Linked DNA regions of Oreochromis niloticus. The protein of the gene in region 1 interacts with the protein of each later gene in a pairwise test. Links are inferred from orthologs where the notes say so. Each region holds a gene or a part of one and is shown in the gene's direction. Other genes may lie near its edges.

Evidence for each region.
Region 2: the proteins of trim54 (region 1) and psma1 interact in binary tests that used the Homo sapiens proteins (3 or more experiments, as listed by UniProt). The link is inferred for Oreochromis niloticus from reciprocal best matches to the Homo sapiens genes TRIM54 and PSMA1.
Region 3: the proteins of trim54 (region 1) and mfap1 interact in binary tests that used the Homo sapiens proteins (3 or more experiments, as listed by UniProt). The two-hybrid records come from large-scale screens. The link is inferred for Oreochromis niloticus from reciprocal best matches to the Homo sapiens genes TRIM54 and MFAP1.

The regions. Positions count from the first base shown.
Region 1 is NC_031980.2:21,565,693-21,576,744, reverse strand, and holds the start of trim54 (tripartite motif-containing protein 54), read left to right. Parts: upstream 1-4,564; 5' UTR 4,565-4,751; coding exon 4,752-4,943; intron 4,944-5,676; coding exon 5,677-5,855; intron 5,856-8,720; coding exon 8,721-8,901; intron 8,902-11,052. UniProt on the Homo sapiens protein: May bind and stabilize microtubules during myotubes formation.
Region 2 is NC_031972.2:42,851,610-42,860,389, reverse strand, and holds psma1 (proteasome subunit alpha type-1), read left to right. Parts: upstream 1-4,036; 5' UTR 4,037-4,159; coding exon 4,160-4,162; intron 4,163-5,360; coding exon 5,361-5,405; intron 5,406-5,489; coding exon 5,490-5,591; intron 5,592-6,003; coding exon 6,004-6,107; intron 6,108-6,202; coding exon 6,203-6,291; intron 6,292-6,443; coding exon 6,444-6,514; intron 6,515-6,649; coding exon 6,650-6,779; intron 6,780-7,001; coding exon 7,002-7,081; intron 7,082-7,217; coding exon 7,218-7,322; intron 7,323-7,425; coding exon 7,426-7,488; 3' UTR 7,489-7,712; downstream 7,713-8,780. UniProt on the Homo sapiens protein: Component of the 20S core proteasome complex involved in the proteolytic degradation of most intracellular proteins. This complex plays numerous essential roles within the cell by associating with different regulatory particles.
Region 3 is NC_031965.2:1,536,714-1,545,829, reverse strand, and holds the start of mfap1 (microfibrillar-associated protein 1), read left to right. Parts: upstream 1-4,372; 5' UTR 4,373-4,511; coding exon 4,512-4,593; intron 4,594-5,876; coding exon 5,877-6,093; intron 6,094-6,186; coding exon 6,187-6,325; intron 6,326-6,411; coding exon 6,412-6,599; intron 6,600-7,083; coding exon 7,084-7,353; intron 7,354-7,441; coding exon 7,442-7,601; intron 7,602-8,325; coding exon 8,326-8,415; intron 8,416-9,026; coding exon 9,027-9,116. Other genes in the region: vps33b (vacuolar protein sorting-associated protein 33B), read right to left, coding at 1-21, 135-215, 1,011-1,106; hddc3 (guanosine-3',5'-bis(diphosphate) 3'-pyrophosphohydrolase MESH1), read left to right, coding at 1,619-1,730, 2,908-2,963, 3,051-3,291, 3,470-3,600. UniProt on the Homo sapiens protein: Involved in pre-mRNA splicing as a component of the spliceosome.

The DNA.
Region 1 (11,052 bases):
CCAGCTCAAAATGTCAGTGGATCGGCTCATGACAAAGCTAATTGCTTTTAGATGGCAAATTATTTAATTGCTTTCCCTACGGGTGATTTGATAGATTTAATGCCATCTAAGGCTGAGACGTGAGGATTACTGATGATGTAATGTGATTTTGGTGAGAGTTTGAGCTGCCAGCATTTTCCATGAATCATCCACTTTGCACTGATTTATTGACTTGTCTGAAACTGATTTTCTTCCTTGACTCAAAAGCTGTAATGGAAGGCAGATGAAGCCCAATAAATAAGCAATTTACTTCAACAAAAAGCTCAAAAATACAATGGGTTGCGTCATAAGTGTACTCAGAACACATCATGTTAAGCATTATTCTGCTACATCTCCATGGATGGATGAATAGATGGCTTTGGGCGTCTTCTGAAATGACAAAGAAACCTTTTTTTTTTTTTTTTTTTTTTTTTAAAGAAGTAGTTCAACATTTTGGGAAATCTGTTTCATAAATGTATTTGCTTCAATGCTTTTTGCCAACAGACTGTAAATAAAAGATGGGCGTCGCCACCTCAGTGTCAACCTTTGGGTTAATGAAGGCTTGAGCCGAGGGGTTTATCTGTTTTTGCCATTTTTATGATTTGAAACTGTGCATGATGAATGAGGGGTGGGTCTGACTAAAAAACCAAGGACATTGCACAATCATAGGTTAGCTACTTGTCAATTACAAAGTAAAACAGCTTCTGTTTTGTTAACGAGGTCACCACTTACAAACTGGACCCATAATTAATGTGTGGAACTAGCGATCGAGGCCACGTGTTTAATCTGTAAACTCTCACAGATTAAAAGAGCGTAGAGCCATTTCCTTTAGACATCTATACAGTTGTGAAACCAGAGTTGCTGCCCCCTGTTGGCCACTAAATGAATGACGTGTTAAGGCCCTTCACTGGCTTAATTTTGTTAGTGTTTTAAAATGGTATTGATGAAACACTAAATGCATTTCCCAAAATGTTCAACTCTTTCTTTAGTAGTGCATATTTTAAAATGGAGATGTAAAAATTTGAAATTGTGAGTCGAAACAGAATTTAAATTCACATACCAATATTATTTTTCTGTAAGTTTATTTTGTTTTTGTTTATTTTCCCCTCTCTACAAAAGAAAGGAAAAAGAAGATAAAGCAAAAAAAATCCCACTAACCTCATTTAAGGTCTTTTTTTTTTTTTTTTTTTTTTTTTTTTTTTTTTTAGCAATGACTCCTATATGTCCTCTTATTTTTTTTGATGTTACTAATACTTGGCTTTTTTACTGCTTAGTCTCTAATTTAAATAAAAAAATGATATTTTGCTTCCATGTTATTTTTAGATTGTTTTAACGTTTTCAAACCTCAAACATTGTTTACTGACATCACGTGGAAGCTGTTCAGTTGTTGTCATGTGGAGCGTTATAGTCCTGTGTAGAATACTAATGCAATTTGTTGTTGTGTTTTTTTTGTTTAGTTTTTTTAACATAAATTTTGCTCTAAAGGTTTTATATCTCTGTGCTGGCCAAAACTATAGTCACATCTAAATTCGGCTTCTAAAACTCTTCTGTATTACTCGGTGTGTTATAATAAATGAATGCAGAGCTACGTGTACGACCATATTGTGAAAAAACAAACCAGCTTTGATAAATTTTTACCAGTCACTTCATATCTGCTCTTTATTTACATATCAGCTTGTTTCTGAGGGAAACCGTCTGCAGACTTGAAGGTCATTTGATTTCATGTCATAGTTGTTTTTAATCCATAATAATATCCAAAAGTGAAACAGAGCACTTCATTTTTATTTAACGCTACATCATTAGAGTTTAAACATGATGATGGAGCACTCAGTCATACTGTTTCGTTTTTTTGGTTTTTTTTAAGTGTTATAAGCAACACCATAAAACAGCAAAATGTTTTTTTGTTTTTTTTTTTAATTCTTACTATTAGGCGACATCTTTTATGAAAGGATTTAACAGAATTGCTTACTTGAATGTTTGACGCTAACATGTCAGCATGCACTGTTTGGTAATACAACCACTGGCATATGCTAAAAACAATTAGCGCTGAGCTAATTTCTTTTTGTGGATAAGCTGAGTGGTTGAAAAAAAATGTTGCATTCATCTTTATTAAGAAGAAGAAGAAATGTAAAAGAAAGTCAACAAATATAGAAGAATTGGAGAAAGACATTTTTGGATGAAACTGGGGATTGATAAATAGGAGAGCTGACTGTTGTGGTTCTCTGTGGACGAACATGTAAAACTTATTATAGAAACCAAATAAAACAACAGGATTTTATAACTTCTAGTGTGTAACTTTGTCTTATGTTTGTGCTTGTTTAGGAAATTATGTCAAGGGTTACACTTTTAGTTTTTTAGCACCACTTAAGAAAATAAGATGCATAAAGCTACTTTCAGCTTGCTCCCTGGCCACAAGGGGTCGCCACAGAGGCTCGCTTCATGATCTGTGTTAAGTTATATTGGCTTTTTGTTGTTGTGGTGGTGGTGGTGGTGTTTTGTTTTGTTTTTCAGGCTCTTCCCGATGCAGTAAATTTAAAATAATACTGCAAAAAATGGTGATAATTGAAAATACAGAAAAAAGAAGTAATTGAACCATTAGTGAATAATAAAGAGTAATTCATTGTCATCAGAGCCATCAATATGAAACAACTGCAAACAGTACCAAGAGAAAAACATGTGTGGTGGTGCTGGTGTTGACAACCATGATCACATTTATAAACACTAAAGCAAAGCTTATATGACAAATGAATGAGAGCCCAGTTGTATTTGGTGCTCTTAAGGGTGCAGGATGGGTTTTCTTTTTAATTAATGAAAAGTTTGTTGACAGGAAGGTAATCACAGAACGGTAACACGGAGGTCTTCAGCTTGAATCCCTGTGTTTGTATGTTTGGCTCACTCTGCAGCAGCCCTCCGCTCCGGACTATTAATAGTCCTGTTAGCCCATTAGCAGCTTAGTCCTGCCAACTCCATTCTGTTGATTAGCAAATACTTCAGGGTTTTGTTTTTGTTTTTTTGTCTGTCCCTGGGAACAGACCTCACTGCTGTATGCTGACAGGTTGAAGGCCACAAAGGGGTCTCTGGGTCACATTGTGGACGAGATCAGGCTTAGGTTCTGCATGAGTAATCAATTATAGTTTACCAGGTCAGAGCCTAGCATAAAAGTGATTGTACAACAGTTAATTCATAGCTACAGTGACAAAAAGAACATGTCCTGCCTCAATGTGCAGCATACAGTGAAATACAGATTCAGACTGCTTCATACATTTATAGACTTTACTATTCTTAATTTTAGGCCAGTAGTCAGCTTTCCTCTGCTCTTTAACATGACTGCATAGATAAACTTCACGTCTTTAGTATTAAATATTAATAATCACAACACATTACTTGATTTGTCTGATCACATTTTGCCCTCATATTAGTTAAAATGACTTGAGTGGTCCATAATATGATGTTGTTGTAGTTGCATCATAGTTATAGTTTGTTAAGTTTAAGCCCCAAAAAGAAATTCCTCAGCTGTCCCATCCTTTGATGCCCAAGCTACTGTATAAATGTGATATAATCTGAGGTTTTCTTGCACATTTGACACAGATATTCAATAAATGCTTTCTCCTGAGACTGAGGGTGCTGAGGTTAAACAGTAGATGGTGCTCTTGAGTCAGTTATCTATTCTCTGACTGATATTTCTGTATTTATATTGGAGTTTAAATGTCCTGTGAGCTGTTGTTTGTTTGGAGCTGCTTGGCCAGCGATTCTGTTCAGCTTTTTTCTTCTTCTGCTTCTCATGCTTGATGACTCAGTCGCACACCTTACATTTATATATTTAGTAGAGTGGAAAATTAATATAAAAAAGCAAAGAACCAAACTAAAATTTTAACTTTATTAGGATTTCTTTTAACAGTTGAACCATTTTGGTAAGATTTTTTTAAAAAGATGTTGACTTCTTACTGAATTGAATGTCGCCAAGAAACTTAAATCAGCCGTGGAAAAGAAAATGCTTTAAATGTGTTGACTTGTACCCGGCTCATTATTTAGCAAAGCTTTGTTGACTGAAGTTTGTTTTTAGAGGTTTTAATATTAAATATCTTTGATTAAACAATATTTTCACCCGAGTACACACTTTGCTTTGCTCCAAATAAGAAGAAGGCTTGTTGGAAACATACAGCACAACAAATACTCCACCTTTCTGACTAATCTCCTGGTGAGATTAGTCAGAAAGTTGGATGAACAGAGATGTTGCGCACTCGGCGTGTTCTGCAGGAACAAACAGACATCTAAGTTGAGTAATGCTTCAAGCTGTTTATGCCAGCATGCTAATCACCTGAAACTTTGCTGTCACAGGTTGCATTATGTCACCAGGATCCCCTCTGAAGTATCAGACTTCATAAAAATAGAATAATTTGAACCCAGATACCGAACCCTGCTGTGATCCCCTGCCACGCCCAGACTTTCAGGAACGCAGTTTAGACAGTAACCCAAGCCAGAACAAACTGAGGAGCTAAAAATACCAACAGAGGGACAGGCTGGCTGCTGTGGGCCTGAGGTGTGTGGGAGGGTCTTTACTTGGGCTTTAGGCAAGCTGGCTGTGGCATAAAGCGGTGGACATGGACAACTGTGGTTAGAAATGGCGTAACAGCTAAGTGGAAAATACTAAAACCAACTAACTTTACAGCCATTTGAGAGTAGAAGGGCAGAGCTTCCTGACGTCTTTGACATCTTCCTCACTGCCGGAGGTGATGAGCTTTGCTCTCGGCTTTAAGCACCCGACAGCAGGCAGCTCTGGGCCCGGTGCTGGAAGCGGAGCCACCATGGAGAATCTGGAAAAGCAGCTGATCTGTCCCGTCTGCCTGGAGATGTTCTCCAAACCTGTGGTCATCCTGCCCTGTCAGCACAACCTCTGCCGCAAGTGTGCCAATGACATCTTCCAGGTGAGACTGAAAGAAAAGAAGAAGAAGCCTTCGGGGTTTTTCAGTATTCAGAGATTACACTGTTAGTTTTAAAGGTTTTAGTTGGAGTTCCCCTTTATCTACACATCCTCAGAGTCTGCAGTGACCTTAGATTCACAGCTACAATGTGATCGAGTGAAAACCCAAACAGACAGTATTTATTTTGTCCTAGTCCACTCCCATGTTAGCAGATAGTATCTGTATATTAAACACGCTTTTGAAATTTAGAAATCACATTTAGTCATTTATCAACACCAACAACCTTATCTCAGAGGCTTTTTCTAATGTAAAAATATTTTCTTTCTTATAGATATATATTTTTTCTTTCTTATATGCAAATATATTTTTATTTCGACCTAAAAAATCTAATTTAGGGGCACAAAACATTGCAGTTAAATGGCCAGATGTCACGGCACACCTAACATCTGGCTCATGGAAAGTGGATCTGTGGCTGAGCTGAGGCCTCGACTGACGGTGCTGACTCAGGGTGAGTCAGCACCGTCAGTCGAGGCCAAATGTGGCCTGTGGAAAACTGCAGATGTGGGTCACATTTATTGCCATCTGGCTACCGATTCTTCAGTTTAATAAAAGTCAAAGCAGAGTCTTCCTCTCTCTTCACTGATACTGGGTTCATATGTGCAACCAAACAGAAATCCACCAGTGAAGCAGTCTGAAGCAGTTTGTTGTTTGTTTTTTCCCCCCCTCTTAAATCCAGTCAGCTAATCCTCTGTGGCATTCCCGTGGTTCCTCCAGTGCGACGGCCAGTGGCGGTCGCTTTCGCTGTCCGTCGTGCCGCCATGAGGTGGTGCTCGACCGCCATGGAGTCTATGGCCTCCAGAGGAACCTGCTGGTGGAGAACATTATCGACATCTACAGACAGCAGGAGTCCTCCAGGTGAATGACCCAGAGAGGGAGGGTTGAAAGAAGGGGTAGTAACCCAGGCAAATGTTTCTTTTAGTGAACTTTTTAAATCATCACATGTACATATTTGAGGGGGCACACTAGCATTGTAGCGATGTCTCAATACAGCCACAGGATTGCTCTGATGAAGCTGTGCCTCTTAATTAATGAAGTCTAAGCAGAGTTAGGCTTGTTCTGTTTGTTTTTTTTGTTGTTTTGCAAATACCAGATACAATGGTATGTTGGAGATAAAATACTCAGTTTGAGACAGTTTTTTCTTCTCTTGCTTCTGTATGACATCATTGAGAGGGTATTAATAATCTGCTCATCTCAGGCCCAGACTCAGTGGCCCAGACTCAGAAGCCACACCCACCTACTATTCAAGCTTCTGTTTGCAGGAGCCGGCCAATCAGGAGAGAGATGTCTTGAAGGGAGAGAATCTGAAACAGCATGTTCAGTTTTTGAATCCACCTTTCCAGTAATATTTGTTAGTTGTATTAAACCAAAGTCAAGTAGTTGTACCACTGGACACCCAAGACAACCTCTGTTTATATTTCTTGTTGTTACTATGGGACTCACCTTCCTGTGTCTTCCTCAGAAACATTTATCTCATTAAACCAATCCTGATTCACTACTAACTGCCACGTCCAATCCGGGTAAACTCACAAAAGTTAATCAGTGCAAGTTCATCCAACTAATTTATTTTATATTACATTATTATTATGTAATGAGATTAATACAAATCTAAGTAATCAGAAAAATCATAAAAATTAAACATTATACTGTTTGTAAAACTTGAAATTCTTCGTTCATCGTTTAAAAACACTAACATGTTTATCGAGAGTGCACTTAGCTGTAGTAATGAGTGACTGCCTGCAGAGAGCAGCATCATATTGTATTACAGCAGGTTTGTGGGTTTGCATGTTTGTCAGCAGAGCAGAGGTGATGTATGCATATACTGTATGTTGTGTTCTTGTTTATTGTGGCTGATATGAAGTATATTTAGCAGTAATGACAAAGCCATGCATGCTTACATAATCAACATCATCATAATCAAATAAACAACATTTTAGCGTTCATTTTTGGGTGATTTGTCTCTCCTTTATTCCCAGAGACATATTTAAAGACAAAATCAAGCACAAGTCACTCAGTTTTGAAGTACTGACTAAAATATGTTAGCCAGTCTTGAGACACGTGTCGGTTTTATATTTTATTGTATTTTCTTTATTGGTATATTAATACATTTTGATGCACAGGTTGATGATTACAGGTGAATGATGTGTTGTGTGCACAAGGAAACATGTTGGAAATATGAAGAGTGTCTTTTGTATTGATACATGAGAAAAAGAAACTTCTGATGCTTTCGCTGTAGTAACAGATTGTTACAGATTGTTGCAGTAACACATTCGATTTTTAATAATAGGTAGACAGAAAGATCTTTACTATTTAGATTTTTGCTGAAGAAACCCAAATTCTGAACCAGATCTAAAAGTAGAGTCGTTTTCTATGAGTGTATCAACCAGAATCAGTTATCAAATATTTCCCCAGCATGACTCATGTGGAACCTGATACTGTAACTGTTCCACCTGAGTATAACCAATACCCGAGCACTGTAGAAATGATAGTATGACAGTTGTTTCCACACGCATGCACTTTGTATAAAAAGTAAAGCGTTTCAAGCAGCAGCCTCTTTACTACATCTGCTCTCCACACTTACTACAACAGATCATCCTCAGTGTAACTTTGTCTCTTCCTCTCAGAATAGAAGCTGAATGAGTCAGTGATAAAAAAGAAGAGCGACAGGAGTCCCCTCGTTATCCGTGTGGGCTAAAATAGATGTGATTGTTCACACGGATGGTCACAAATCTTTTGTAACTTGTGGTTTTCTCATCATTTTTTCACACGTGAAAAATATTATCATAACTTAATCATCGTTTCTGTCAGAGACGCCTGCGTCAGAGTACAAAGGACAGTTTATTTCATGAAATTTAGCTGTTGTTTCTCGGAAGCTACAGAATTATCCATGTCCGTGTCAGCTTCTTTTTTTAAATGAAATGTCTGGCAGTGATCAATCTGGGAGGAGAATGATGTCAAATCACACGCACAAAAATAAAGGAGACAGCAATGATAATGACCTTTATATACATACACTATTCTTGTATATATTAAAGCTATAATAAAGGAAACCAGCTGAGCTGTAAGTGAGCAGTGACATTCCTGATTTGCAGGTGGCAAAGAGACAGCTGCCACCTCTGCCAAACTCTTTATGCAGTTCTTCCATCATCCACTGACGTCAAAATACGTCAGTGATAACAGAAGTAAACTAAGCTGCTTCAACAATACAGACAATGATGCCAAGTCTTGTGCATGCTGTGCATGGGAATGAGATTACAAATTAGCCAAGTTTCCTTTTAGTCTCATTTCAAGGGTATTAAAATGATGGCTAACAGCTTATAAAAAAAGACCTACTTCTGGATTATTTTGTAAGTGAAACACTGGTTTTCATCTGAACTTTCTATGTGCTTTAGGGAGTACTGTGCAACTGCCCTTGCAGATGCAGGCTGCTGCAGGCTATCTACAGGGGTGGGATGTTAAATTTAAGACATTTTTTACAACCTTATTCATATTTACTGTAAAGGAGTCTAAGACATTTTAATTACAGGCTGCTTTAAGTTAAAGATTGACCTAAAATATACTTTTTTCACTGTTAATATGTTAAGGTAAATATTAAAACTGACTACAAATGGGTGTGATACTGACAGAAACCTGTTATATAAACACACCAGGCTTTTATGACCACATCCAAATTTTCCTGGAGCAATCCTTACATTAAACATGATATTTTTTTGTGTCTTGCAGACTTGTTAGCATGAAACCAGAGCAGCAGCAGCAGCAGCTCATGTGTGAAGAACATGAAGACGAGAAGATCAACATCTACTGCTTGTCCTGCCAGACGCCGACCTGCTCCATGTGCAAAGTGTTCGGACAGCACAGAGACTGTGACGTGGCTCCGCTCGGCACCGTCTACATGAGACAGAAGGTGAAGGACAGTTACGGCATACAGTTTGCACTTCACGCCACTTCACGTCTGACTAAACCAAGTTGTTTTCGCTCTCTTACCTCTCCTTTTAACCAGTCTTTATTCTAACTGGCCGACCCTTGCAAACAGAAGGTTTAAACAGCAGGTGGGTGATGCTCGTATATTGTAAATATCATGAGAAATGACATTATAGAGCAAACAGTAGGAACAATACTGGTTAAACAGCCTCAATAGATCCACTTTAAACTTGCTCATAGCACATTACTGACAATTAAGCACTACTGGACATTCCTATCTCTGGTTGCCTAGGTAACCCTTTGATGTGTTTACCACACTGTCACATCTCACATGGTGCACTTCACTGTTGCTTCAGTCACTTGCTTAAAAGTTTGGGAAAGTTTGAGTCTGGATCTGCGCACTTTGTTTCTGCAGCAGTTATTTTACATGTAGTCGACTGTCACCGATGTCACTGACTTTCTGTGGTCACAACATCAGTAGAAACATGCCAATATGTCGTATCACTTATGCCTTCAATACTTTATTAATTCACTGCCCCCACACATTGAAATTTATAATAAAACGTACAGCTTTCTAAATGAATCCCCTCAGCATCACCACTACAAAACTTATAAAATGAATCATTGTTAAATAGAACTGAAGTCAACTAATGTGTATCGATGAAGAAGAAGAAGCAGCTCAGGGTGGAGAGGATGGTAGCCAGCTCAAGAAAATAATTAAATGAGCTGATTACAATTTACACATTATCTAAATATGAAGTTAGAAATATGAACAACACAGATAATCAGGTCAGCTTTCAAAATAAAACACTGCTTGCTGAAATAAATGCCCCATCTTTGTTTTCCCAGGGTTCATTTGTGATTCTCACCCCTTATTTCCATCTCATACTTTAAATGAGCCCAGTCCAATTCACATTTCCACCCTCAAACAAACTTCTTTTACCTTCATTTAATTTTATTTTCAGCTTAGTTGCAGAGAGCCCTGCTCCGAGAGCTTGAGCCTGTTTAAAGGTCAAATCACCACAGAGTTGGTAAAATAGTCTCTATCATGAAAAATACAGGTTAGTGTGTTCATACGATGACCTTTATCTTCCAGCATTTTTTGTCTTATTTCTATTTTTACATTTTTCCTCTTCCTCTTCAAGCAAGATGCACACCAGTTCCCACTGTGGAAACCAGTTAATGACTAAAAAGAGAAGACACAGCAACTGTTAGGATGAGAATTTTAAGACATTTTTAACCTCAATTTTGATTATTCTGATAAAAACTTAAGACCTTAGATTATAAATGACTTTGTGTTTATGATGCAGCTAAAACAAGACCAAGAGCTGACTGATCGAATACTCAGAGCACATGAACAGCATACGTATACCCACTAAAATCAAGGCGTCGGTACATGTACATGATCATCTGTCCATCTAAACATCAGTGGCATTGCTCTGTGCACAGAATTAAAGTGCAACTTCTGTTTTTCAACACACAAAGTCACACAAAGACAAAGTGCAGCAGTTTTGTCATGCAGATGGCAGCAGCAGCAGCGTCCGGCATGTTATCGAGCAGTTGGCTTTGTTGACATTTCAGTGCCGGCCTCTCCATCTCTCACTCTGCATCTGATTCACTCATCTGAAATTTAGATGAGGCTCCTGAAAGTTGTTGATTCCCCATCTTTGTGCAATCTGAAAAACAAAAAAGTTTGGTGATCTCATTTGGCCGGCACAGAAGCGAGAGTGTTTGTTACACGAGCAGCTCATCAAATCGCACTCTAACTGTAAAGTGGCTGTAAAAGACTATAAAAATATGCATGATGTCATAAGATACTCTAAGCAGATGCATGTTGATGACTCATGTTGTTGTTGTGCTTGCTGGTGGTGGCGGTTACTAATGAGAAAGTAATCATCCTGCGGAGCAATCCTGTGATTACTATGAGAGAGGTTTAAGTTAAAGTCAGCATCTACGAGAATGATAAGACACTCAGCGGTCGACTGTCAGATTTTCTTGTAGGTGGAATTTATTTCTATTTTATTTTCTGTGATTTTTTCCTCCATAAAATGTCTGTCCCAAAGCAAAAGTTGAAGCTGTCTTTGCAGTCCAAATAGAAGTAGTTTAAATATCAAAAAAACAAGGAAAAATAGTG
Region 2 (8,780 bases), on another chromosome or scaffold:
TATTATTAAGTGCCCATAATGTACAGCTTTTTTTTTTAGCCAGAAAAAAACGTCTTCAGCCATTTGCCGCTGAAATGCTGCATAAGTGCTTTCGTCAACACCAGGAAACTGACAGCACTGAGAAGGATCTCTGCAAGACTCCCTCCTCACCTCTTCTCACACACACATGCTCTGCTGGAAATCTTAAAGCCTATGACGACATGCAGATGAGAGCCATAAAACTTATCAGCAGGATAGGCTGCCGAGGCTTTTCTCTGTTTGCTCTGTGGCTGCAGACCCCTGACCTGTCTTGTCACTGGATAGCTGCCAGCTTAATGCAACATTGGCAGAGCTGCCACCTTTCCTACCAATTAGTCCGTCCATTTTCTGAGCTAAAACACATCGCTGACCTATTTTTAGCAACACAGGTTGGGAATTTGCGGAATTTTACACCAGTCAGGATAGAAATTATTACTATATATTATGTTTATATGTTTTATTATACATTATAGAAGTAATGTAAAATCCTCGGTGTGTCCTGCCAACAAAAGGAAAGACACAACATATTTTAAAAAAATCACTGGGTGCTAAAGTGATGATATAAACTAGAGATAGTAATTAACCATCATTTAAAATATATATATCTATATCTATATCTATCTATATATAGAGAGATAGATAGATATAGATATATATGAATGAGTAGAAGAATGGGTGTGCTTACACTTACCACCATGTGTGGGTCCACAGTGTGGCTTGGACCCATCACACAGTGACTCAGGCTGCTCTCCATTTGAAAAATTAAATGGGAGGTGGGGGGGGCACTTGGCAAAATAAAATGAGGCCCCCAGGAAAAAAAAAGAAAAAAACATGCTGAGCTAAGCACAGCTCCTACAATCTCAATCACAAAGGAGGAGGTTGGCGCACTGATGTAATGGCTGCCGCCATGCTGCTGCTGCCTTGGCAGGGGAGGAGAGCTCGTCAGCACAGTCCTACTAATTCAAACCCCCACCCCCACTCCCCACCCAACCCCATTCTGGATCAAGGGTACATCAGATATCATTAACAGAGAGAAAGAGAGAGAAAAAAAATGGGGGAACGGTGGCCAAGAATACAGCGAGACGCAGGGTATTGGACATAAGGCGTTCAGTGAGCATTTCTCTGGCTGCAGAGACACACATCATGGAAAGTGATAGAATCCCTTAGGGAAGAAAAAAAAATGTCCATGAGAGTTTCTGGAGCTGTGTGGAAAGCATGTGTATCACTGTGTCTATGCTAAACCCCACAAACCTGTCAGCATCTGTCCACCTGTAGAGCTGCTGCACAACCATGTGATATACATTTGAAAAAAGGAAAAAAGCATTTGAAAGCAGTGCTTTTCTCCCATATCTCCTATAGGATTGGATTTTAATAAGTTAAAAAAATACTTGAAAAGCTCATGAGATGATTTTAGAAAAAAGAAAAGTAAAACCATTCCTGCAAAGCTAAGTTGTAGTAGATTTTTTTTATATAAGATAATCCTGTAAATCCTTGTCCAATGTCTAATGATGCTCCCACATAAAACAGGATCGTTTTTTCATTTTCTTTTCTTTGACCTTCACGGACTGTTGGGTTTTAAGGCACAAGAACTATTTGGGTAACGGTTAACTTTAAGGAAAAAGAAAAATGGCGTTTATGTATTTTCTGGTCAGGATGTTGAGCTCCACTGCAGCTAAAGGTAACAACGCTTGTGAACGCTTTACAGCCACCTCTTTTTATACCCTCACCTAAATTTTAAACACAATATTTTCTGTCTCGCTGCTTTTGGGGCGAAAGACAGTCTCAAATCTTTTTTCTCGTAAATTAGCCATAATCTTTTTCTTTATTGGAAAGCAGCTGAAGTGGTGACAGCTAACAAACGTTACAATATATCACTTTTAAAGTAACAATCAGTAATAAAAATTAAGACAATAATTAGCTAAACTTTAACAGATATTTATACTGTTAAAAAACAATGAGACCTCAGTTTCCTTTGGCTTCAAACTCTGACCCATGTGCCATACCAGTGAGATGGGTCTCAGCTGTAATTTGTAATTTAATCTAGACCATTTAACCAAGTAGTCTTGGTGCCTAAACCTTAAAAAACAACTAGAGAAACTGAATTTAAACAGATAAAAAAAACAGGACACAAAGGTTAAACAGTCCTGCGAATTATGCCACTTCATCTGCCTGCTTGTATATGGTTGAACATTGTGTGGCTGATTATGTTATGCAAAAAATATTATTAATTATCACTTTATTCCATATTAACAGTAATTAACTATTAACTTGAGCCTAATAACTATCAATACCGTTCACTCATGATAGCTGTTACAAAGTATTTCCATTTTGGAAAATGGGCGATTTGTGTTTTACAGCAGAACAACACAAAGTATGAAATGCCCTCAGAGAAAAAGTCCAGTACAAACAATGGATCCGTGAGGATTTCTCTGAACGCCACATTTATTGACCAGCAATTTCTGGCTTTTACCCGTCTAATGGAACAGAAGCTGGGACTGTTTCTGTGGTGCTCAACAGAAAGCACACAGGATACAACCTCATTACCTGTTACCACTACACCACAGCAGAGGGACATTTTACTGGGCTCTAATAAGGAGCAGCGAAATGATTATATTAGTACAGTTTTTTTTTTTTAAAGATATGCCATCCTAGGGATTTACAGTTCAAAAATGGTGTGAGTGCCATTTTTTCAACTGCTAGCTGCTAAAATAGTGCTGAAAATTATGTTCATTCACATGTTTAAAGGATTAAAGGGGAATCCTGCCAGTTTTAAGAATTTTCTTTAAAGTACTCCAGTCTTTTCTGAGCATGGTGTTGCTTCTGTAAAGACAGAAATCAGCAAGAAAGGTACTGAGCTGGGGAGTAGCATCAGCAACTTCATCATAGATAACAAAAGGCTGCTGACTTAGTCAAACTGGGACTTCTCACATAAAATGTGTATTCTAAGACAGTGTAGTGGATATAATCTGCTTTACTTTCTACTTTGGTTTAGTCCTGTTTATTATTGTCTGTAAGGAGAGACAATTCATGCACTGCAGATGAAAAGTCATGGGTTATTATGGTTTCAGGAAACAGACAGGTATTGACTGGAGTGCTCTGTGACACAGAAATAATATATGTGAATAACTGAGATGGGTGGCCTTTACTAACACATGGACTTCTTCTGTCTTTGTAAAAAATTATTTTCAATTTTCACAAATGTTATATTACTACCTGTACTGTTTTGACCTTATAGTAAATAGTAAATGGAATCACACACATCTGGGAAAACTATGAATGTGGGCAAAAAAACAAAAAAAAAACCCTTCAAATCTAGCTGGTAAGGTTTTTCATCATTAAAGTGAGTGTGCCTTTAGCGAAGAAAAAGAAACGAAAGTAAAGATATCAAACAAGCACCTACTATTATGTCTATAGGACAATTTTATATTTTCTTCTGGATTTGTATGGAGAAACAGGTCTGCGACAGCAATAAGACAGCGTCCCCTACGCAGTGACGCCTCGGTTCCTTCTTCTAATTTACTGCTGCCGCCTAGTGTCCATGCTCAATCACTGCAACCAAGAGCTCACTCGTAGAAAAGAATATACAAAAACGGATTTCGTTAGTAAGCTAATGTACACGGCAAGATGGTTCATTAATTCGCACAGATCAGTTCATTCCACAAAGAGCTCTTGTGTTTTTTCCACAGTTTCAGTTTCTGCTTTCAGTTCACTTTTTCATATCCAAATGGGTTCTCTTTTCACGATCCTTCTTATGATTTAAGTAAAAAAAAAAATACATTGCAATTGATTAGTTTTGGATTTACCTTAACAAATTAAAACGGTTGTTTTATTTTGTCTTATTTGATTTTATAATATTTGCATATTTGCATTTGTAGAGGCAAGATTTAAAATACACTTCTATTTTATTAATTTTGTTTTTTTAGATATTTTGTGAGTGTTTGTGAATGCTTTTTTAAAAAATAAGAGATTGGACTGTTTTTTTGTTGTTGTTTTTTTTTTACATTACCAACCAAAAGTTCACTCAGTTGATCACTGATTTGAAATCGGGGTTCTGTTGGTTTCCCTGACGTCCTGTCAGGAAAATAAATCAAGTGAGGATCACTGCGCAGGCGGCGGGGACGAGGCACTTTCTTAAGCAGAGATGGTGCGTATGAATTAAATGTATAACTTTTTGGTCAGTTTCATATTATACATCAGACCCGAAGCCTAAATAAATGACACGGTATATTTTTACGTATAATATTTTCTCAAGAAATCCTGAAAGCAGGTCCACTTACTCCCACAATGCTAACATTAGCTGGCTAACTTTTGACTGCACTGTGAGTAAGCAAAACACTGCACTGCTAGCGTTAGCCGCACAGTGTTCAAAGAAACAGCCTTCACGTAGCCTATACTCAGCGCAGTCTGCCTAAGTAAATATTCAGTTAGCTCCTATTAAATGTTGTTAAAACATGATGAGTTAAATATTTGTTAGATGAATCGAGAATTGGAAGGCTAACGTTCAGCAGCTAGGCTGAGTTAGCATCATTGAAACTAGCGATGGAAGTAGAATGTCTTACTTTCGTTTTCCCTTAATCCACTTCACCGGCCTTTCGGCTTTAAAAGCTAGAAAAAGAGAAATAATTATTTTGTGCAGAAATGTATCACTGCGAAGGCTGTGATGATTCCGCAAGTCTCCTATAGTAAATGTTAGTGATGTTCTGTAAAGGTTACTTAGCTAATGACAGTTAGCCGTCATTAAATTCTAACATGTCAAACTTTTGTATGATGGGAGCGTTTCAGAGCGACATGGTGTATGAACATGAGTGCATAGCAATTGCAAATCATTCTTGTCCCCACAAGTTAATAAAAAAAAAATACATGACAGAAACAGGGTGAAATACACAAAATCCAACGTTTTAATTGTGACGCTGATGAGGCGATAAAAGCAGAAATCCCCATAACTTTTTTTTAACCAGCTCTTCGTGTCTGTTGTTATTTGGCTTGACGGACAATTGAAATCCATTTAGTATTTTATGATTGCCATTTACCATGCTCCCAGTATTTATGCTGCTGTCTGGTCCTAATCCAGTATTAAAGTCAGTTTGGTGTTTTGTGTTTCGAGCCAGTAAAGAGATGCGTGTTTATAAATAATTTAATCACGGTGGTAATTTAAAACCTGGCTCTGGAAAAGTCCAACCTGCAGACAGTCTCTTTTGTAGTTGCAGTCTTCAGTCCTTGAGAAACAGTAGCTAACCAAGAAAACTGCTTATAATGCAAGACAACTATGTAAGTTCAGCTCCTGTGTGTGATATTTTAATAACAGTCTTTTAAGTGACGGCTTGTTTTTTGTTTGTCTTTAGTTCCGCAACCAGTACGACAACGATGTGACCGTATGGAGCCCACAGGTAAGTCATGTCTTTCACTGACTAAGTGCATCATTAACACTTGATAGCATGATGAGTGAAATAAGTGTGTCCATCTGTGAACAGGGGCGTATTCATCAAATCGAGTATGCCATGGAGGCTGTGAAACAAGGGTCTGCAACTGTAGGGCTGAAATCCAGAACACATGCAGTCCTGGTGGCACTAAAGGTACAGTCATGCAGTGTTTGATGGTGATCTTATGACATTGCAGTTTTTTATGCCTTGGATAAATGCCAGAAAATTGGTCACTATACAGGCATTGTTCCTGATGCAGAAAAACAAGTCTGTAGGTTTTTATTTTTTAACACACTGTCACCAAGTATCTACACAATTATACTTCTTTCCTGAATATTTTGTGGGTCAGTAGTATGTTTCTGAGTGTCTCTAAACATATAAAAAGGATTTCCTTTGTGTCATCTTGCCTACTTGTCTTATTTATAGAAAAGGGGGGGGAAAAAGCCTGTTTCTTATAATAGGAAGTATATTAAAGTACAGCAGCCAAGAAAACCTGCAACAGGGTATTGGTGTCAAAGCACAATGACTGAATATCCACAACTGATGTGTCATGTTTCTCTTGCAGAGAGCCCAGTCTGAACTGGCGGCCCACCAGAAGAAGATCCTCCATGTTGACAACCACATTGGTATCTCCATTGCTGGACTGACTGCTGATGCCAGGCTGCTCTGGTAGGTAACAGTGACGCTGATGGTGCAGACTAAGTCGCTCATGATTATAGTACATAATATTCTTAAATACAATTCCTACACCTTCTCTCCCACAGTAACTTCATGCGTCAGGAGTGCTTGGACTCCAGATTTGTCTTCGACAGGCCCCTCCCAACGTCACGTCTTGTCACTCTTGTTGGCAGCAGTATCCTCTCTACTGTTATCAGTTATACTAATATATGTTATAGCATGTGTTTCCTGTGTGAGTGAGAGAAACTAGACTGTTTTCTGGTTGTCTTCATGAGAGGATTAAAAAAAAAAAAAAGTGAGTCACATGATTCTTGACTTAAACTGCAGAAACCCAAATCCCAACACAGAGATATGGAAGAAGGCCCTACGGTGTTGGACTCCTTATTGCTGGTTATGATGTGAGTTTGTTTCACGCCCGCTCTTTGTTAAATATCTGCCTGGATTCATGCATGTATAGCATTATCTGCAGCTGAAAGACTATAAAGGTTTCAGTAGTCAGTGCAGTTGATATTTATTTGTTTTGTGTCAAACAGGACATGGGACCTCACATCTTCCAGACCTGCCCGTCAGCAAACTACTTTGACTGTAAAGCCATGTCCATCGGAGCGCGTTCCCAGTCTGCACGCACCTACCTGGAGAGATGCATGGATAAATTCTCTGACTGTAAGATCCATTTTTTAATTTTTAACCTTCTCAGAAGCATTTACATTTAAAGCAGTTTAAACTGCAAATGAACACTTATCCTGTTGTATTGTTAAATAACTAATGTAATTTGGCCATGAGCATCTTGAGGCACTTTGGGACATGTTGAAATATTTTAGTCATCAATGCAGTTTTACAATATAAACGTGAATGGTCACACTGACATGTGGGTTTTGTTGTCAGGTAACCTGAATGAACTGGTCCAGCATGGCCTCCGTGCTCTCAGAGAAACCCTCCCTACTGAGCAGGACCTCACTACCAAGGTACCCCAGCTCCCGCCACACCCACCTGATACGGCACCTTCTTACACACTCAGCTAGCACAAATCTTGCCTTTAATGAGACATGAGCTTGTGCAGCACAGAGGCAGTTTCTCAGCACTGTGCCCTTTTTCTTTCAGAATGTTTCCATCGGCATTGTCGGGAAAGACATGGAGTTCATCATTTATGACGATGACGATGTTGCCCCATTCCTGGAAGGGCTAGAGGAGAGGCCACAAAGAAAGGTACTGCAAAGGTTTATCCAGTCCAGCTCTGGAGAAACATTTCCTTGTCACTTCATGATAGTATACTATCTAAGATGAAACTGAAAAAATAATTGTGTTTCAGGTTGCCCAGCCTGCAGATGAACCTGCTCCTGCAGAGGCCTCTGATGAGCCAATGGAGCACTGAGGCAGCATGCCAAACAGTGGTCTGCTTCCTGTAGATCCCAGACAACCACATGATACTTAATTCAAGTCAACAGAGAAATATTTAGAGGGGGAAGATGTTGTGATGTGCCACTTGCTAAACTGTTAATCCAAAATATTCTCTGCTAACATCAAACAATGTGATGTTGCTTTTGTATGGTTAAATTGTACCATGATACAAGTAATAAACTCCTTTTTGTTTTTGAATGCTGCTTCTGCTGCTCTCCATATTATTAGCTGACTCATGGCAAGTGTCGATACTTCGATTAACATTGCAGGCATCACAGAAGAGTCTGACTCAGTGCCATAAAGTAGATACTATAAAACTAAACGGCATAGTTTGACGACCAGATTATACAGGAAAGTGTGTGTGAAACATCTTCACAGCATGTTAATCACTGATGTGAATTCTCAGGTGCTTTTACTCACAGTAGGTTTGTTTAGAAGACACTTCTTCATATTAAACACTGAGGAGAAGAGGACTCGGCTAACTCCTGTCTAATTAAAAACCCGAGTTTTGTTCATTCTTAAATTAAGAATAGTGTCATTTATTGCATTTGCTCACACAAAGGAATCCAAGAGCACAGTAGGAAAACTGTCAAACAAAATTTAAAATGACGGCAGTTTAATGGTAGTGTTTCATTGCTGACAAAGGTGAGAAGAGGCACAAACATCCCAATATTGTCCACTAGGTATTAAGACAATTTGCATTCCCATTTGGGGTCTGATTCAGTCTTACTTGCTCTTTTTATTTTTTTTATTTTAGATACACTTCATCTTCCAGTACCAGATGTAATAACATTAGGTCCCCTTAGAGCAGGGGTGTCAAACTCAAATACACAGTGGGCCAAAATTCAAAACTGGAACAAAGTCGCGGGCCAACATTAATATTTATTGAAAAAAAATCTTCCTCCAGATATAAGAATGAATCTTTTCTTATGGACTCAAACAAGTTTTGCTGAAAAACTGAATATGGAACAAGCAAAGCTTAATACTAAACAATATATATATTAGCTGTATAATACCAGTAGGCCAGCATTAATAGTAATTTGGTATGGCTTCGCGGGCCAAATGTAATTAGGCTGCGGGCCAAATTTGGCCCGCGGGCCAGAGTTTGACACCTATGCCTTAGAGGAACAGAAACTGATGCCTTCTGACCTTCGTGACAGATCTAACAAACGGTTTTGTGTGCATACTCTCCACCTTTTCAGCACATCACCAGAAATCCTGGAAGCGTGTTATGTTCAAATGTTAAAAAATCTGATGAATTTGTGC
Region 3 (9,116 bases), on another chromosome or scaffold:
CAGTTTGTCCACTTCATGTTGCTGAAAGAAAAAGGGGGGAGACAAAAAGCTTTTAAAGACCTGCTGAAAGTGCAGTAATCCTGAAGAGATGCCCTATCAGAACAGGCAGGAGAGCAGCAGCTGATGCGGTTCACCTTTAGTGTTGATACATTTGCAATACGATCCAGCGGGCTCATCAAGTCTGCCTCAATGAAGAGGTCCTTCTTCCCGGGCAGCTGTGACACAAGAAAGGGGCTTGTAAGACAATCTGCTCTTCACAACACAAAAAGCATCCCTTGTTTTGTTGTAGTTCCTGTTTTTTGTCTTCACCGAGTCTGAAGTACATCACAAACTAATGCGTGCATGGCTTAGTCTGCACACAGTTTCTACACTTTCTCCACTGATTCTGACAATGTTCATTTTTGCCTAATTAAATAAAATTAAACTGTAAAACTGACTCCTATGGCAAAAGTAAACTGTAGTTTGGTGGGGACAATTTTCATGTGAAGACAGTATAGTTCAGCATATAGGAGTAATATTTCTCAACATAAAATCTCAAGCAAATGGCTGCAATCTTTGGCTTTCCAGCAGCACTGCATTAGAAATAGACATGATTCTGCAGCAGAAATCACTCCATGAGCTGGTGGGCACTTTTAAAAGCCACTGCCAGACAAACGGTTTATTGTTATCTCCATAAACACAAGTTATAATTCTATAAAACAAACAAGAAATACAGTAGACTTCATTAAAAGCACAGAAGGCCAAAGGAGTCTCTATTTTCTGACATCACTGAGGTCCTTCAACATCCACCGGACGCTGCTCAGGATGTTTGATGAGTCTGTGGTGGCCAGTGAGGTCCTCTGTGCTCTGAGCGATACCAACAGACGTGTTGCTCGTGAATGGGTGTGCAGTCAAATGATAAAGTATAATAATAAAAAACAAAAAAGAAGAACAGTGCCATATGCATGCTATACATGCCAGTCATATTACTGATGAGCATGTCTTCAGCAGAAGCTGTGACTTGCTCCTACCTGTTCCAGCAGGTAGATGAGCTGATCTCTGGCCAGCCTCTTGAGGATGGAGAAGTCGGGGAGCTCCGGGGAGTCTCTCCTGGCACTGTGAGCCATGCTGGACACACGACGGAGGCCGGACAACACTCAGTCATCCACGGCTGGCATAAACAAAGAAAATAAATAAATAACTCATATACAAATATAATGTTTAATAATGGAGATACAAAAACCAGCAGAAACATATAGAACAGTCAGAGATCTGTGCTGTGATTATCCTCCCTGCTGGCTTAGCTTCAAAGCTAAAATCACATTCATCACATAAATGAAGATATAAAGTATCGAATACGCTGACACTAGTGTGTAAAAATTTCCCCCAAAAATATAAAATTAATGCCAGAAATTTGACCGTTTATGTCTTTTGAAACATAACACTTTATCTTATATCTTATGTTAGCAGCTACCTGCTTCCGTAGCTAAATAACTGGAATGATCCCACGACCAGTTGTTTCCCCCCGGATCATAATACGAACGGACCGCCACAGTTTTGCTCGAAAGACGTTGAAAATTAATTCACCTAACAACGCGGTTTTTCTGTTACTGACCTGACAGGACGTGATTTTTACACCATGAACTCAGATGCAGCTTTATTGTTAGAAACTGTCCAATTTGCCGCAGAGAAACACCGCAACCAGAAACGTAAAGATCCAGAGGAAACGCCGTATATAAATCACCCCATAGGTAGGTGTGTTTTTACGGTAGTATGATGCATTCACGGCCTGTACGTAAACCCGTGAAGTCTCTCACTCTTATCTTTAAAAGAAAAAGAAAAAAAAGTTTCTGATGTTTAACTGATACGATACCGGAAGCCGTGGAAGGAGGGAGTAGCCGAAAGGAGCGGTACGATCAGAACTAACCAGTAAAGTTATCAGGGTTTACTCGCATACTGCAGCTATATCACTAATATTTAGTGTTTACCATTTTATGGCAACAAATAGTTTTGCAGAAACTATATTTCAATTAACACGAGTGCCTTTATTTTGATTCTGGTGATAATAGCCTGCCGTGTAATAGCGATACGTTATTTTTCGGCTGTGTGCTCGGCACACAGTGTATAGTCTCACGTTGGAGGTGGAGGACGATTGATCCGGTTTTTTGTTCAGGCGTACAAAACTAATGGCTTTTTGTGTGCAGGGGATTTAGCGGCATCTAGTGGTGAGGCTGCAGATTGCAACGAACCTAATATCTCCCCCACTACCCACTGCTCCGTTTTTCTTTGCTGAGCTAATGATAGCACTTGGCAGTGCTTTTCCTGTCAGGGCTCCAGACCACTAGAGCTGTGGGGGACTTAAAGGGACAAGCTTTGAAAGGATAAAGAAATGCACCAAAAATAATACTGAAAAACATGAATTATTTTCCCTCTCATCTAATTTTCCATGTATCTATTCTTATTATATTGTCTTTGTTTGTTTTTTTAACCCTCTCCCCCCCCAAATTTGTATTTTTACATTTCGTTAGACATTCTGCTTTATTATGCAAAAGAGGAGCTAGTGATTGTTTCAAAATATCTTTTGAGACTACAGTTCAGTGGATTCGTTTATTTTGGTGTTAGGCAGGAGTGCCATAGATGGGCAGCCAGTGATTAAGCTCCCTCCTTGTTGTCCCTGTGTGTAAAGGAAGTTTCTGGTGGTTCGTCCACTTCTTCTGTGTGAGTTTTATTTTCCTACTTACAGATGAGAGCTATGAGCTATGTTGTGTAGAAACTTAAAGTTCTGAAGGAGCTCTTCAGAGAGGAAATGTCTGATTATAAATGAGTTTTCTTGTTCTATAAGTGACTTCTCTTAGCAGCCTGGAAACAGTGAAGCTTCTTGTTTACTGTCCTCTCTGCTACTCACAACTTTCTGTGTGTGCTTTTAAGGAGTGGCGAGAATCCTCAGCCACGAAGGGGGCGTCACAGACATCGAGGTTTTGCAGGTGAGTTATCAGTTGTTAACTGTTAGTCACAGTCACGTGCACGCATTCTCACATCAGTAATCCCATGTGCTTCCTCCCGCTCTGCAGGCCGCCCTGCTTCATGATACAGTAGAAGACACCGACACCACCCCCGCAGAGCTGGAAGCTAAATTTGGGGTAACCGTGGCTCGCATTGTTCAGGAGGTGACGGATGACAAGAGCCTGCCCAAGCAGGAGAGGAAGCGTCTACAGGTGGAACACGCACCTCACTGCAGCCAACAGGCCAAGCTGGTTAAACTGGCTGATAAACTGTACAACCTGAGGGATCTGAACCGCTGCACTCCTGTTGGTCAGTACTTCTCTGGACACAGTGCTGTTTGCTACAAAATGGAATGCTGTGTAAAAAAATAAATAAAAATACAAAATGAAGAGGATGAAATGCTTTGGAACACTTTATTTATTTGGCAGAAGTGCAAAAGACAACATATCAAATGTTGTTCAGTTATGTTTCTGAATGTGTTTGGCAGGTTGGACAGCTGAGCGGGTGCAGGAGTATTTCCTGTGGGCCTCTGAGGTGGTGAAAGGCCTGAAAGGAACCAATTCAGCTCTGGAGAAGAAGCTGGAGGAACTCTTTAAAGAGAGAGGAGTCCAGCTCTGACAGCAGGGCCACAACACAGTGGAGAAATGCAAATAAAATGCTTTTTAGTTTGTAAATATTCAAAATAAATCAAATTGAATTTACATTACAGTGTCTAATTTTCTGTGCATGGTTTTGCAGGAAAGTTGAATGTCTGATGTTGTGGTGTTTAGTAGTTAAAAAGTAAAAGATGTTACTCCTCATTTGGCAATTGTAGCTTGTGCACTGTGATGGTCCGTTTAAAAATAAGCCTATTTAGATATAACACACATTTGCAGGACTGCATTACACAAAGCAAACAATTTGGCACACTATCACTATACATTTTATGCTCAGTAATTTTCTTTAAAAGAAAATAAATAAGCTAATATAAAACAACAAGGAGATGTAGTTCATTTGAGTATTTTCTCTTGAATCGACCTGATATCTCTATTTCATTAATAGTTTTAGTAACTCCTTTACATGTTACATGTCCACATTTAAAACATATCGGATTATTAGAAATTATTCTACTTTTTAACCAAGAAAACAATAAATAATTGAATTTATTCGTACAAAAAGAATGAATGTTTAGCTCAGCAGCCTGCAGATGGCGCTGTTACACTAAAACGTTTCAGAATATTAACATTCACTTTCACCCTTCCCTGTTTTAGAAAGTTAACTTCATCATTTTTTCGCAAACTTGTTTCCCGTGTAAACCAAATGCCTCACTTCTGGGGATACTAAATGACATTATCTTCTGTATTAAAGTGAAATGAACACAGTCATCGCTCACCGGCGGAAGAACTGTCGGAGCAAATTCACTTCCTGTCCGTTCGCCGATTGTGTCAAACTTCCGTTTGAGTTGAGCGACGACGAGGAATTCGTTTTGTCAAAGTGAAATACTCCTTTTTTTAATCTTTGTACGGTTGCATATCGTGGACCGGGCAGTCATGTCTAGTCGCGAAGCCCTAAACATGAAGCTTCCACCGATCCAGTCCACGGCCGGAGCCGTGCCGGTCCGGAATGAGAAAGGTGAGCTTGTGCGGTTAGTAAGCAGGGTCCTAGCTGCGTGCTAAGCTAGTTAGCTGGAATAGCAAAGCTGGTAGTAAATTTATGTACGAAGATATATGCTGGAAAAAATGGACTGTACTTTTTTTTAAACTTAATTTAATAACATTAGTGTAACAATTTAACAATTGAGGGAAAGTGTTAACAAAATTATCTTCGTCTACATAGTTGTAGTTGGATAACGGGTCTCAATAAACCTGATGGGATCCTGCACTACCTGCGGCCTTCGAGTGGAGTTGCATTAAAACAGAGCCACGTTTTTATTGTGGGGTGCTTCAGTGGGAGGTTTGCACGATTTACACATCAGATAAACTTTCAGTCCACTCTGTGTTAAACGAGCTCCTGCGTCTTTAAGCCAAAGGTTTTCATTGGCTGGCCTTCCTAAACAGAAGGTTTTTAGAGCAGGTGACATGACCCAGTTGGGGATATTCCCTCTGTGTGACATAATACAGAGTCAAGAGTAGAAAAAAACTGTCCGCATCAGCGTGTTGCGAGCGGCCTGAAGTCAGTGAGGACGTATATACACAGACATCAGCACTGTCAGGCATTGCAGTTACCTAAAGACCAGTGACCCCATAATCGGAATCTTTATTAATCCCTAAGGAAGTTATGTGGGTTACAGTTGCTCCAAGACAGTAACAGCAACAGACTAAACTAATTAAGTAACACAATATGTTGCAGAGTTTACAAATGTAAGAAATAGCACTAATATATACATGTAAATACACTCAGTTTGATGTCACGTGTGTTTAAGAAAAGTTGGATTTAATTCTTACTTAAAAAAGAAAAAAATGTTCTAAATTAAAATTTTGCTTCATGTCAGTGGACTCGTTGATTGATAAAAGTATTTTTTAAAGGTTTTTATTAGATTTGCTATATACAAAGAAATTGGATATTAGAAGTAAATTAAATAATAACTGAAAGACAAACTGTGTGTAATCATTCATTTGGGGTTACCAGTATTGTATAATATTAAATAAATTCATGTTTAGGTACTTTTAAGATGATTTTTTATGATTTGCATGTCCTGTGAGAAAGGCATGAGTTTTCTGGTGATCAGTTTGTCATGTAATGATTTAGTTACCAGTAATAAATGATGACATTTATTACTTGGTCTTAACTAAAGATTAAAATGAGAAACTTCAAAGTTGGTATTATTTGTGGTTCTGCTGAGCTGGTATTCCTAATCGGAGAACTTTACGTAGGTTCAAGTGTGATTAAGAGGATTGTGTCTCTCCATGTGCCAGGTGAGCTCTCCATGGAGAAGGTGAAGGTGAAAAGGTACGTGTCGGGTAAACGCCCTGACTACGCGCCGATGGAGTCGTCTGATGAAGAAGAAGAAGACTTCCAGTTTGTGAAGAAGGGAAAAGAAATGGAGACAGAGGTGGAGCTGGAGGAGGAGGATGTCTCTGATCCACGTCTCAGGCGTTTGCTAAACCGTGTCTCTGAGGACGTGGAAGAGAGGTGGCGCCCAGCGTTTACGATCTGATTCAAGTTCACCAAAACGATCATGTTGGAAAGCTGACGTGAACATGGTTTGTGCCTGTTTGTCCTCAGGCTTGCAAGACACAGACAGATAGCAGAGCCTGAAGTTGTGGCTGAGAGCAGTGAAGACTCTGATGAAGGCACGTGGCACCCACAGCGAGAGGAGAGCAGTGAAGATGAAGAGGAGGAGGAAGAAGAAGTGGATGATGAGGTGCCTTAATGCTTACATTTGTCAAAAGTTTTTTTTTCTTCACTTATTTGTAGTGAGACATGTTTTTTTCTTCTTGACACTTACAGGAAATCGAGAGGAGGCGAGCAATGATGCGTCAGCGAGCCTTGGAAAGAAAGAATGAAGAGATGGAGGTCATGGAGGTGGAGGAAGAGGGGAAATCAGGAGACGAGTCGGAGTCAGAGTCTGAATACGAGGAATACACCGACAGCGAGGACGAAGCAGAGCCGCGGCTCAAACCTGTCTTCATCCGCAAGTACGAGATGAAAGTTTGTAGAACAACGTAAATCCAAAGACCATATTTATCAGTCGCAGACGGTCAGTTTTCTGTGCAGAACGTTGACAGATCAAGACACACAGGAAGTGTCTGCTTGCATTTCTGAAGGAACAAAAATTAGCAACATGGAGAAAACATATTCTGAGTGATGAGTGAATGATGAGTCTTTTATCAAGTGTGCTTTGTCTCATTTATCCAGAACACTCATGTCATTTGGAAACATACAGGACAGTCTGGAGCTGTTCACACTCAAAAATGTGTTTGGAAACAGCTCGAGTAGAGCTGAACATTTCTGTCAAAGTAACTCCTGAACACTTTATTCCTGTTAAAGCCGCCCCTCGTGCAGCTCTGCGGTGAAGAAAGCAGCTGCGCTTCGTGTTTTAGATGGAAGCAGATCACAACGACACCGGCCTGAATACCAGGCCCTTAACATTAATGAGCACATGAACTGTTTTCTCCACAGAAAAGAGAGAGTCACAGTGGCAGAGCGTGAAGCAGAGGAGCAGAGACAGAGAGAGTTGGAGGCCGAAGCGAAGCGGCAGGCGGAGGAGCGACGGCGCTATACCCTCAAGATCGTGGAGGAAGAGGCCAAGAAGGAGTTTGAGGAGAACCGGCGCACGCTGGCTGCTCTGGACGCTCTGGACACCGATGGAGAGAACGAGGAGGAGGAATACGAAGCCTGGAAGGTCAGAGAGCTGAAGCGCATCAAGAGGGACAGAGAGGCACGAGAAGCGTGAGTAAACACCAGTTTGAGTGACTGAAAATGAATTTGTGATAAAGGAACGTGCAGAGAAGAGCTCATGACTGTTGTTTGTTCTCAGCTTCGAGAAGGAGAAGTCTGAAATCGAGAGATTCCACAGCTTGACTGAGGAGGAGCGCAGGGCCGAGCTGCGCAACAACGGCAAGGTTGTCACCAACAAAGCCACCAAAGGCAAATACAAGTTCCTCCAGAAATACTACCACAGAGGAGCCTTCTTCATGGTGAGTCACCACAGTGCTTCAGTCTTACTGCACCTTCTGAGCTTCCCCCAAATGTCCCAGCTTAACCCAAGGCTTTGCTGCTCCTCCGTGCTGCTGAGTTTCTCCTAAAAACCTTAAAACATTTGTTACATCTAACAAAGCTCAATTTCCATTCCCCTTTTCTTGTATTTTTTAATCAAACTATTTGAGGAGGATCTCTTTGCAACAAATACTTTTTATGCATTTACCTGCATATAGATGAGTAAAGCTCAAAGTTAGTTCACTTAGAAATGAATTAATTTGGATTTGTGTGCCAAAGGTCAGGTGACTGTAGTTTGGTTTGATGAACCAGAGACGGATGATAAAATGATTTTCAGTAAAGTTGAGTACATGTTGGATATTTTGTGTATGCTATGTGCATGCACACAGGGATGCACAGCTTCAGTGGGCTGGTGGTGTTGGGCTGTTTACTGTCTGAAAAAAGCAGCAAATATGCACTCTACACAGTGCAGGAGATGCTTGTAATCCTTGTGGATGTGAACTTTGAACAAGCACCAGGCCTGTACTGTTTGTCCCCAACAACAAGCTCTTGTATCAGTGAGCTTTTTAAACTACTCTTAGTTTTTATAGTCGTAACATCTCTGACCTTCTGGCTTGTCCCTGTGAACATTGATCCAAGCTGCAGGATATCAGCTGATGATGTCAGTGATCAGTCTAAGTGTCAGGATATGTTTTTCTTTTGCAGGACGAGGAGGAGGACGTGTACAAGAGAGATTTCAGTGCACCTACTCTGGAGGATCACTTCAACAAAACCATCTTACCCAAAGTTATGCAGGTCGGTGGCGTTTGCTTTTTCTCTCATCTTTATCGTAGCCTGGACTGTTTCACTGAACATTGTTATAACAGCATTGTGTTCATATGAAAAATAAGGTTAAATGGTTTGCAGGTATGTGTGCTGTTTCTCAGAATCTAGTTAGAACCTTAGAGAGGAGGATGTAAACACTTAACCATGTTTTTACATTTGTGTCTTGTTGTTCTGAAGACATTTGGACAGCTATATTGTGAAATTAAATGTCCTTGTGTGCTGCGGGTGTTTCAGCACTCCGGCTAGCTTGGACCTGCTTACTTGGTGCACTTGCAGATATTTATTGTTAATCTGCGTCTGTTTATTCGTTCGTTTTCATAAATCGGTACTTGTTTGGAAGCTTTAATGACTGAACAGTCGTCTTTGACTTGAGTCACATTATCCTCTGTGTGTCCTCTGCTGCTGTCCCACTGACTTCCTCTCACACGTGGTGACAGCAGTGGAGGCTGAGAGAACCTCTCGTACTGCACAGAGCAGTAGAGACAATAACAGTGCATCTTATTCAGGCAGTAGCAAAAGGAGTTTCTTTTTCTCTTCAATTACGGGGCTCTCTGATCTTTTGTGGTTTGTTTCCTGCAAAGGTGAAAAACTTTGGTCGGTCTGGACGCACAAAGTACACCCACCTGGTGGACCAGGACACCACGTCGTTCGACTCTGCCTGGGCTCAAGAG